Linked DNA regions of Astyanax mexicanus. The protein of the gene in region 1 binds, or shares a complex with, the protein of each later gene. Links are inferred from orthologs where the notes say so. Each region holds a gene or a part of one and is shown in the gene's direction. Other genes may lie near its edges. The genes, in order: snrnp40, ppil2 and rbmx2.

Region 1 (3,758 bases):
GGAGTAGAAACATCCAGAGCCACGGTGCACAGGCGTGGGCAGGAAATGGGCTACAGGTGCCGCATTCCCCAGGTCAAGCCACTTTTGAACCAGAAACAGCGGCAGAAGCGCCTGACCTGGGCTACAGAGAAGCAGCACTGGACTGTTGCTCAATTTTTGCATGTCATTCAGAAATCAAGGTGCCAGAGTCTGGAGGAAGACTGGGGAGAAGGAAATACCAAAATGCCTGAAGTCCAGTGTCAAGTACCTACAGTCAGTGTTGGTCTGGGGTGCCATGTCAGCTGCTGGTGTTGGTCCACTGTGTTTTATGAAGGGCAGGGTCAATGCAGCCAGCTATTAGGAGATTTTGGAGCACTTCATGCTTCCGTCTGCTGAAAAGCTTTATGGAGATGAAGATTTCATTTTTCAGCATGACCTTGCACCTGCACACAGTGCCAAAACCACTGGTAAATGGTTTACTGACCATGGTATTACTGTGCTCAATTGGCCTGCCAACTCTCCTGACCTGAACCCCATAGAGAATCTGTGGGATATAGTGAAGAGAAAGTTGAGAGACGCAAGACCCAACATTTTGGATGAGCTTAAGGCCGCTATCGAAGCATCCTGGGCCTCCATAACACTTCAGCAGTGCCACAGGCTGATTGCTTTCATGCCACGCCGCATTCAAGCAGTCATTTCTGCAAAAGGATTCCCGACCAAGAATTGAGTGCATAACTGAACAAAATTATTTGAAGGTTGACTTTTTTGTATTAAAAACACTTCTTTTATTGGTTGGATGAAATATGCTAATTCTTTGAGATTTTTTTTTTTTTTTTTTACTTTTTTGCCAAAATCATCAATATTAAAACAATAAAAGGCTTGAACTACTTCAGTTGTGTGTAATGAATCTAAAATATATACATTACAGAAAATAATGAACTTTATCACAATATGCTAATTTTTTGAGAAGGACCTGTGTATGCAGTGTTAAAGTTTTAGATATTATTTATTCGAGTTTTAACTAGCAATAACACGGTTATACAGTTTTCACTACTATAAATTGCTGTGGATATCTGGTATTGCAATTTCTACTAGTTAAAATGTAGTTATAAATAAGAGAGAATAAAATTCCATAGCTTATGTCACTATGAACTGAATTATCTGCTCTTCATTTAAAAAAGCATGCTACATTTTAGATTACATTTTAATTTAAGAACTGTCCATTATAAACATCTATTATATATAAACCAATAATAGAAGGAAACGTTGCTGAACTTACTGCTTTCTTCAGGTGAATCCAGGTCAGATGGGAGAGAACGGAACCGGTTTGTGGATGAAGAATAAGGCTGGAGGAGCTTTTATGAAGTCGGTAGATCTTAGTTTAGGATAAATTAAGCATTTCATGCAGTTAAAATACTTAAATAAACCAATAGGTCAGCAAATAATCAGCCTATACTTTCAGTAACACACACTGAATAAACTCGTGCAGGGCTCGTGTTGTTGTTCTGCTCCGCTTACAACTTCCTGTTCAAATGGGCCTCCGCACGGCCAACAGCCAATCAGGAGCCGGCAAACATGAACGGACCAATCAAACGCCCCGATATCACCGGAAGTGTTTGTATTTCACCCCGGCGTGGTGTTAATGGTGGACGGTGAGGAGATCCGTTCAGCTGAATTTAAACTCATACAGAGAACCCCGACCCCCGGCTCCAGCTCATACCCCCGCCTCACCCCGAGAGACCCCGCCGCTAAACACCATGATCGAGCCGAAAAAGCGCGGCGCGGACATGGCGCTGGTTCCCGCCGCCGTGAAGAGACCGAGGAGCGAGCTGGTGGCCGCAGCGCAGAACCAGCAGATCGCCACCATGGTAACTAACAGTCTGATAATCTGGTAAAAAACACAGACAGGGAGATATTACTGTAAAACACTGTACAATTATGAGGTACACTACAGTGTGGTATGTCTGGAGTAACCACACCAGATTTCTGTAGTAGAAACTTTTGTTTCAGATGTGGTATGATGTACTGGTTTAGGAATAATATCAGCTCTACAGATCAATCTAATAAAGCCATTCCTATCACCTGGAGCACAACCCTTTCGAATGTTCTGTATTTATTCATAAATATGACCTAAAACATCATCAGATTTTCAAACAAGTCTTAAAGTAGGTAAAGATATTAAACATATTATACATTGCCATTTATTTATTTAGGAAAATTATCCAATATTACACACAGCTCTGGGAAAAAAGGAGACCACTTCAGGTCTGAAGATTGACCGTCAACTTATTTGAATGTCTGTCAGCAACCGCAGAATAACATTAAGTGACCTATAAAAAGAATGGCAAATGGCAGCTGGGTTGAAGTGCATGGAAAGAACAGTTCAAAACAATCTCTCAGAGGCGGGCTAGAAAAAGTACATTCTCCAATGAGAAGCAAAAAAAGAACCAGGCTAAAGTTTCCAAATTTGTCTATAGAGGACTGGAGTAAGGTCATCTTCTCTAATGAGTCTAATTTTCAGATTTGCTCAACACATGGCCATCAAATGTTTAGATGGAGACCTGCAAAGATGTAAAAGACACAGCTTGCACCCACTGTGACATTTGGTAGAAAATCATTAATGATCTGGGGATGCTTCAGCAAGGATGGAATTGAGCAGTTTGGTTTTTGTGAATGACACATGATTCAAGCCGTATACAAGGTTACCCTGGAAGAAAACTTGCTTCGTTCTGAACTCTTCTTTAGATTAAACTTTAGTATTGTTGTTGTTTCTAAATAAAGGCGAACTTGTTTAGCTTTGCATTATTTGAGGTTTGAAAGCATGGCATCTTTATCGTTAATTTGACCATTTCTTATTTTCTGCAAATAAATGCACTAAATTACAATATTTTTAATTGGAATTTTGAAGAATGTTGTCCGTAGTTTATAGAAACTACATATACCTATAAATAGTTAAATCAGAGAAACAGATTATTTTAAAGTGTTCTCTTAATTTTTTCCAGAGCTGTATTTGTGAGTGGCAAAAGTATATGAGCCTCTGCTTTCAGTATCTGGTAGTCTAAATAAACATTGAATCAATGTCAGAATTTCAACGATGCCAGTGAAGGATTGTAAAATTAAGATAGAAAAACAATCATTAACCTGAAATGATGTACTGCAATAAAAAAGAGCGTTTATTATATGTTTATTCAAACATATCTCTAATTTAGTTCTAATAGCCAGTAAAAATGCATTCAACATATGTGCAGTGTTAAATAGCTTTAATACAATAGCTTAAATACTGTTATTGGTATGTAAAACTCGGAACTAAGTTAGTATCTGTATAACTGGTGTTATTTTAGTTAATAATTTGTTAATAGTTGTTATAACAATTCTTTGCCTCAGTTTGAAAATTGTTTCCTTATATTAACCAAAGCATTATTTTGTCAGGGTCCTCCTCGCAGCTCCAGTTTACAGGCTCCTATAATGTTGCTGTCTGGACATGAAGGAGAAGTCTACTGCTGCAAGTTTCATCCCAATGGAGCCATGCTAGCTTCTGCAGGATATGACCGCCTCATCTGTAAGACTATACTCTGAGCACGTTTGTGAAAATGCACTGAGCGTTAATTTATTATTGTGTTGTCTTTCTTTCTGTGAGCCATAATGGTAAAAGAACCACATGATGGTGCTTATAATTTGCTAATTTCATGGGGTCAGAGCCTCAGAATTAAATATAGTCAAAATTCTTAAAAAAAAAAACAACAACTGTAGATGGTCAGTTTTGGTTTTATTCTGCTATG
Region 2 (3,758 bases), on another chromosome or scaffold:
GTGAAGCCTTTGTTTTTGGAGCACGTGTCTACTAACTTTTAGACATGGGGTGAATTTATCTATGAATCTTTGCTGATGAATTAATAAATCAATGATTTAAAGGCAAAAGGCCTGTTGGACATGTGGGCCAATAGAAATGCAGAGGCAGGGAGTGTGAATTTTGTCCACAGTGTAATAGCGCCACCTGCTGGATGGATAACTCAACATCATATGAACTACAAACATTTTTAAATTAATATTTTTTTTTCTGTTTTTTGGTGATAGGAAGATTTTTTTTTGTTTAAAGAAAAATTCAAAATGTGCTCCTGCATATCTTTAGGTCTTCAATATTAAATTTATAATAATGAAAAACACACAGTGAATGAGAAGACAATAAAACGTCTGACTGGCACTGTTTATGAACTATTTTTTATATAATAGTAAAGCAGTATTGGAACAGATGGTTTTACTGCACTCTTTAATGCAGCATTTACACACTTTACACACAGCACATTCACAATATATATAGTTATTATTATTTTAATAGAATCAATTGTACTCTAATATTAGTAATAACGATAATCCAGAACAGTGAACAATGATATATATATATATATATATATATATATATATATATATATATATATATATATATATATATATATATATATATATATATATGGGGGTGGACTGGGCAAACCAGAGAAACACCTTCTGAAATGTGTAAAAATGAAGTAAAAATGGCTAAATAAAATAAAATATAAATATTATTTGGATGGCAAACATGAGCTTATAATAATAGTATTTATTATTATTATTATTATTATTATTATTATTATTATTATTATTATTATTATTGTTATTACTTACTTTTTTATTTAATTATTGACTTTTTATTGTTATATTATTATTTATTTCCAAAGGACCCTAAAAGAACACAAAAAGGTAGTGGGACACAAAAAGCGCCTTCCTGTGTTTAACCCGGACTAATGTTACTGTAGTACAGCGCTTAGCCCGGACCCGTAGCTATAGCAGTTAGCTAGGTTAGCTAAGCTAATAGCGCTGTAACTGTGTGTTTTTAGGTGTAAATTATCGGTGTATTCTCTTTGGGAGCTGTTTACACATTAAACAACAATGGGGAAGCGGCAGCACCAAAAGGACAAGATGTAAGTCTGCATTAATCCGGATTAAATCCGTTTTATTCATCGAATTAAACTAGCTGCGCTGGTTCAGCCTAACAGCTAACTGGGTTAATCTGAACTCTTAAAACTCTATAAATATCAGGATTCAGTTTAATATTTAATAAAACAGCTGAAACTTAGTTAAAATATGTATATAACCATGTTTCTCTTTTCCTAGGATAGTACTGTATCTGTTTTCTCTCAATTTAACGTTACTCTGCATCATTTATAATAATTTAACGTTAGATAAACATCATTAAATAAACTGTTTTAGTAAATATTAAATCAGACAATAGGCTTGATATTTAATTCATATTTTGTCAAATTTGTTTATATGCTTGTTTGTTTATATTTGCTATTTATTTTTAATGGTATTATTATTGTTATTATTTGTATTATTTAAAATATATATTATTTAATATTTTGTTTTAGCGTCACTTTAGTTTCTTTTCTTTTTCATTTGGCTTCTTTAAAAAACAGAATGTATCTTTTCAACCTAACTTTTTCTTTGAGTACATTAGCTGTGTATTTGTTGTTGTTGCGTTTAGTTTGTTTGTTTGTTATTTTTCTTGTCAATCCCTGTTAATCTATTTGCTCGGCAGCTAAAAACGAGGGTCACCCTCAGTGTAAAATAGATGTTGATTAATTGATAAATATGATGGATTGATTGACACAGCTGTTTAAGCAAGATGTTATTTATTTTGAAAAAAGCTAAAATATTAATAAAGTCAACAAATTGAGTGGACAATACTAAGTTAATCAGAGATTATTGAGATTATGCCTGTTTAGTGGACAATAAACAACGACCTTCCTGATTTTATGTGTAAGAATTAGATTTTTAATATGTCAGTGTTAAGCTTTAACTAATCAAATTACAGTCTAAATCTCAAAGTTTATTTGTTATAAATGGTACATATGACTTTCTGCTCACTCATGAAGAGTGGTGAATAGTGCTGCTCATTTTATTCCTACTATTCCTATTTTTCAGGTACATCACCTGTGCAGAGTACACACATTTCTATGGAGGCAAGAAAGCAGGTGTGTATTTTTGGAGCATGGCAATACATTCTTTTCCTTTTTACTTTTTTTTTTTTATTATTAACACTTAGTGCGATCTTTCTTTTATCTGCAGAAATCCCACAGGCTAATTTCAGACGATTACCCTTTGATCACTGCAGGTGAGTTGTACAGATAGGTGTGTCTGTGTTTGTGTGTGTGTTTCATTTATTGCTACTTTTGATATCAGACTTCTTAACAATTACAGATCTTTTATTAAAAGTTACAGTCCTTTTATTAACAATTACAGTCATTTATTGCTGAATAGCTTTTGGCTGAATAGCTTTTGGATGCACATGGCTACCGGATCAGCAGAATCTAGTAGAGGACATTTCAGTAAATTATTCAGAGGCAGCCAGCCGTCGCTTTTCACTCCAGTAGCCTGACCTTAAGCACTATTCCTCGATTCTATATAAACTAACCCCACTATACAAATACAAAATATGCCTGTATATAAATTTGCATTTTAAATTTTGCATTGACATGTCTATTAGTAATAAAGCTTTGCAAATGTCTTTGCACTAGGAATTAACACGTTTTAGGGGAAGATCTGTATTAGAACAAAATAATTTATATTATATTACTTTATGCTATATTTGATATCTTTTCATCCTGTGGGGTCTAAATCAGGATATATATATTGTTTCCTGTTCTCACTTGTGTTTGGGTCTTTGTGTTCTTTCAGTTTGTCTCTTCAGCCCTTTGAGTATCCCATGTGCACCCCTGAAGGCGTGGTCTTTGACCTCATGTAAGTACAAGTACACTAATATCACAATCCCAGTATCAGTCCTCTGGTCACATATACTGGTGATCACCTGAGGGGTTAATAGTAGGGATGCACAATGATATTGGAATTTTATCGCTATCGGCTGATTATCTCTTAGAATCATTGGCATCAGACAATTTGGACGATATTTCAAACAATACTTGCTGATGTATTTGTTGTATGGCAAAAAAGGACCAAGTGTCACTAGCTGCACTACTAGCACTAGCTAGTTTGCATTTATTTGTATTAGTTTTAAAGTTATAAAGTGATACTGGTGTATGTTGTCTTTCTGTAGTTTAGAAATGTGTACCTTGACATCGACAAATATATATATAAATATATATATATATATATATATATATATATATATATATATATATATATAAATATAAATATATATATATATATATATATATATATATATATATATATATATAAATGTGTAATTTCATATATTTGCATTAGCGTAGAATTTCCCACATTGGTACATCCCTAATTAGTGTAATTACTGATTTGGTTCATGTAGGTTGATTTTATTTGTGCAATAGAAACATTATGGATTTTAACATATTCTTATGTATTTAAATCTGTATTTGAAGGTTTTATTATTTTCTCTGAGCAAAGATTTTAATCTTAGGACAAATTTAATACAAATGCTGTTTGATGCTGTTTTAGCTGAAAGGTTCTTTGATGGTTTAAATGGTTCTACACCATATCTTTGTGTGTAGAGCAGGGGTCACCAACATGGTGCCCGCGGGCACCAGGTAGCCCGCAAG
Region 3 (3,758 bases), on another chromosome or scaffold:
ATGAGAGCACAGGAATGCCACCACAAACTCGTATTTACCGGTGGGAAACTTACATTTTTATGCTGCCTTTCCAAGTCCTCCTTGGAAAGTCCTATTTACGAGGTTTGAGGTCATAATTATGGCTTAACATGCGTTCAAGTGTTTTTTTTGGTTGAGTGGAAATGGACGCCATTACGAAAATTATTTTGTTTGTACTGTTGGTCTATTATCGTCAAAAAAAAAAAAAAAAAAACAAGAGAATAAAGTGAATACGACAAGCATTAGGTGAGTGATGTTTTTATCCCATTAGTAGAACTGTGAATCATACTAGACTTTTACGTTTTTTTTTCATGCATTGCTACTGATTTTATTAGTTAGCTATTCACAAGTTTTTACTGTTTAATGTAGGAGTAGGGTCCATACTGGTAGCCACCATGACCTTTTGTTACTTTGTTCCCCAACTGGGAAACTCTGGGCTTATCTGAAAACCCAAGTTCCCCACTGGTAAATACGAGTTTGTGGTGGTGTTCATGTGCTCTCATCTCGTAAATATGATATTTCCGACACAACTTAAATCCAACCTGAGATAAGCCCTGAGTTTCCCAGTTGGGGGCGTGTCAGTATAAAGAGGTCATGGCGGCTCCTACAGTAAGCGGTAAAAACTTGAGCTTATTAGCAATGGTTTTAAGCTGTACAATTTTAAAACAAACCAAAAAAAAAGGTTTAAAACATAAGTCCAGTATAATTCACGGTACTAATGGGATACAACATCACTCACCTAATGCGTGTCTAATTTACTTAATTCTCTTGGAGTAGGGCAAAATATATCTCCTGTTTTTTATGATAATAGACCAAAAGTACAAACAAAATGATTTTCCTAATGGCGTCCATTTCCACCCGACCGAAAAAACCCAACCTCGTAAGTAGCAATATCCGAGGAAGTCTTGAAGGCAGCAATATCTATTTTCTGATAAAACCGACACCACAAAAATGAAGCATTCTAAATTCTATAGGTTCATTGGTCCATTTATCACAATATAAAAACAAATTCATGCCTAATCTAACGTTCTTACAATGGAAATAATGATGTTTTTCAATGAAAACACCAAAAAAATTAATATAAAATGATTAAACAATTCCTCTATTCCACCAATAATCATTATATCGATAATACAGCGATATCTACTATATCACTTTTACCTGTGGGGAAATCCAGCGTTTAATTTCACTGTAACTGTATTCAGCGACCGTCAGTGGACTTCAACTCCCACAATCCTCCTGGTTCCCCAGCGGAAGAAAACTCTGAGTCCTCGACGTTTTGAAAACCACTTCCATGTGTGGAGCTAAACAGAGATACAATGAAGTAAGTTAGTGCGTTATTTCCCCTCTCTTCATGCTATAATTCATTATATCTGCCTATGTTTTCATAGCGCAAGTGAGACTTTTAATACTAGGTCAGTTATTTAGCTAGCGTTAGTTATTACAGTCTTACTAAGGAGTGCAGAGTACAGAGTGAGCTGGGAATGCTAGGTTAGCTAAGCTAGCTGTTAGCTCACTTTACCTCAGTAGCCTCAGTTGTTTGGGGCTCTGACTCTACACTTACAATGCTTTTAGGCGAAGTGTACCCCTTTAATAATAATAATAATTACTATTATTATTTAATTGTCATTTTCTGGAATGTAGGAGCACAGTAAAAGCTATAAGAATAGAACACAAACATTGATATTCTGTACCAGTCAAAGCCTGGACACACCTCTTCTCTTTTAACCGGTTTTCTTTCTTTTTATATATTCTGAATTTAATATTGAGGACAGTAAAGTTATACAGGAACACAGGAGGAATGATGTTGCAGATCTTGGTATTTTTTCAGTGTCTTTATGAGGTAGAGTCATCAAAATTTTCTCAGCGTCTTGAAGGAGTTCCTGGAGGACTAACCTATATCTGCCTAAGTAAATTATTAAACTAATAAATAAAAGCAAATAAAGAAAGAAATTACGAAAGAATCAATAAAAAAGTTTAAAACAAACAATTCAGTTAATACATTCAGTATATAAATTAGTGAATAATATTTGTATTTTCCTACTTTGCATTTTTTTTATTTCTACATTTTTATTTTCTTCTTTCGATTTATTTCTGTTTTATTTTTGATATTATTTGAAAATATTGTACAATACACCCCTCTTTGTTACCATATGTAGGAACAAATACATACATAAATAACTGAATACATGAAAAAAGTATGAATAAATAAATTAAATAAGTTAAAAATGTACAAATATAGAAATATACAGAAAATCAACACGAGAATTAAGTCATCTGTGAAATTAGCAGTTAATCACAACCTCCTTGCTTTTGTTCTGCAGTCCACTTACCAAAGTGAAGCTCATCAATGAATTGAATGAGAGAGAAGCTAAACTTGGAGTTAAAGACGCAGTATCGTGGCATTCAGTGTACAAGGACAGTGCCTGGATTTTCATTGGTGAGTGACTTAATTGTGGAAACTAACTTTTTAAATTTTTATAAAATTTAAACATTCATTTTTACATGATAGTCTAAAGGTTTAGCACACTTCTCTTACATAAATTCAATAGAAAAGATTAGAAATTAAAATGGGACGCTTAGTAGCTGCTGTGCACAAGTTTGAGGTTGCTATGCCCAGTGCAAGTCTTTGTCTGTGGGGAGCCAGAATTTTAGGACCTCCATGAATGCTCTAAATTTTTTAAGCAAGGTTTTAGCATCTAAACTAAAGCCTTACCAACTGAGCAGAGCAGAGTCTTTCACTGAGGTCAAGTGGGAACAAGCTACTTTTTTCCACAAAAAAAAAAAAAAAAAAGACATTGGACCTTCAGTTACCTTTACTTTATTAATCTGTTGGCTTTACTGTATCTCAGCAGATTTAACAATATATTTAATAGTAAATATGGATGTTGCTTTTTTGGTTATATTGCAGTTGTGTGGTTTTGTTATTGATTATTCTGCCATTTTTGTTCTGCCAGATGGTGGCGGCAGTTGTCTAATTCTGGAAACAGTTCAGTTACAATAGGAGAACATACTTTAAAGCTGGTTTTCTAATTTAGCCAGGTAACCTGGGTTAAAAGTGGCCACTGGTAGGGCTCTGTAAAATTTGTTTTATTTTTGTCTTTTTGACTTCTCTCTCGGTAAGCCAGTTAACATGGGTCAAAACTACCAGTAGTACTATCCGTTAGTAGGGATCTGTAAAATCTATTTAGATTTTTAAAGGTTTACTTAATTTTTACTTTTCACATCTGGAATCTACAATCTGGTTTTAAGCCTCAAGTTCCAAGATTCTGTTTCTGTGTTCTCTGCATTGTGGTAATCATGGGGCTCTACACTAGTATTGTTTCTCAGTTCATCTCATGTTAGAAAGTTCAGCACTTCTGTGTTTCTAACATAAACAAAAACGCTTAATCTGTTCGGTGAATTAATTTGACAGAAACATGTTGACCCGTGCTGCTGTTTTCCTGATTGTACTGTACCCTGCAGGTGGATTTCCATATGAGCTGACAGAGGGAGATGTCATCTGTATTTTCTCACAGTAAGTAAATTTGGCTTACTTTTGCACTGTTTTACACATTCAGACTTGTTTAACACTCATTTTCTGTTTGTTTAGATTTTTAAGATCTCTCTTTTTTTTGTCCATCAGGTATGGAGAAATTGCAAATATTAACTTGGTGCGAGATAAGAAGACGGGAAAATCCAAAGGCTTTTGCTTCCTTTGCTATGAGGATCAAAGAAGCACCATCCTGGCAGTGGATAAC

Evidence for each region.
Region 2: snrnp40 (region 1) and ppil2 share a complex: the UniProt entries of both Homo sapiens proteins name them as parts of the minor spliceosome. The link is inferred for Astyanax mexicanus from reciprocal best matches to the Homo sapiens genes SNRNP40 and PPIL2.
Region 3: snrnp40 (region 1) and rbmx2 share a complex: the UniProt entries of both Homo sapiens proteins name them as parts of the minor spliceosome. The link is inferred for Astyanax mexicanus from reciprocal best matches to the Homo sapiens genes SNRNP40 and RBMX2.

The regions. Positions count from the first base shown.
Region 1 is NC_064410.1:50,283,213-50,286,970, forward strand, and holds the start of snrnp40 (U5 small nuclear ribonucleoprotein 40 kDa protein), read left to right. Parts: upstream 1-1,602; 5' UTR 1,603-1,736; coding exon 1,737-1,847; intron 1,848-3,408; coding exon 3,409-3,538; intron 3,539-3,758. UniProt on the Homo sapiens protein: Required for pre-mRNA splicing as component of the activated spliceosome. Component of the U5 small nuclear ribonucleoprotein (snRNP) complex and the U4/U6-U5 tri-snRNP complex, building blocks of the spliceosome.
Region 2 is NC_064429.1:31,212,886-31,216,643, reverse strand, and holds the start of ppil2 (RING-type E3 ubiquitin-protein ligase PPIL2), read left to right. Parts: upstream 1-965; 5' UTR 966-1,113; coding exon 1,114-1,145; intron 1,146-2,148; coding exon 2,149-2,198; intron 2,199-2,292; coding exon 2,293-2,338; intron 2,339-2,901; coding exon 2,902-2,964; intron 2,965-3,758. UniProt on the Homo sapiens protein: Has a ubiquitin-protein ligase activity acting as an E3 ubiquitin protein ligase or as an ubiquitin-ubiquitin ligase promoting elongation of ubiquitin chains on substrates.
Region 3 is NC_064424.1:17,118,908-17,122,665, forward strand, and holds the start of rbmx2 (RNA-binding motif protein, X-linked 2), read left to right. Parts: upstream 1-1,254; 5' UTR 1,255-1,337; coding exon 1,338-1,342; intron 1,343-2,342; coding exon 2,343-2,458; intron 2,459-3,483; coding exon 3,484-3,535; intron 3,536-3,643; coding exon 3,644-3,758. UniProt on the Homo sapiens protein: Involved in pre-mRNA splicing as component of the activated spliceosome. As a component of the minor spliceosome, involved in the splicing of U12-type introns in pre-mRNAs.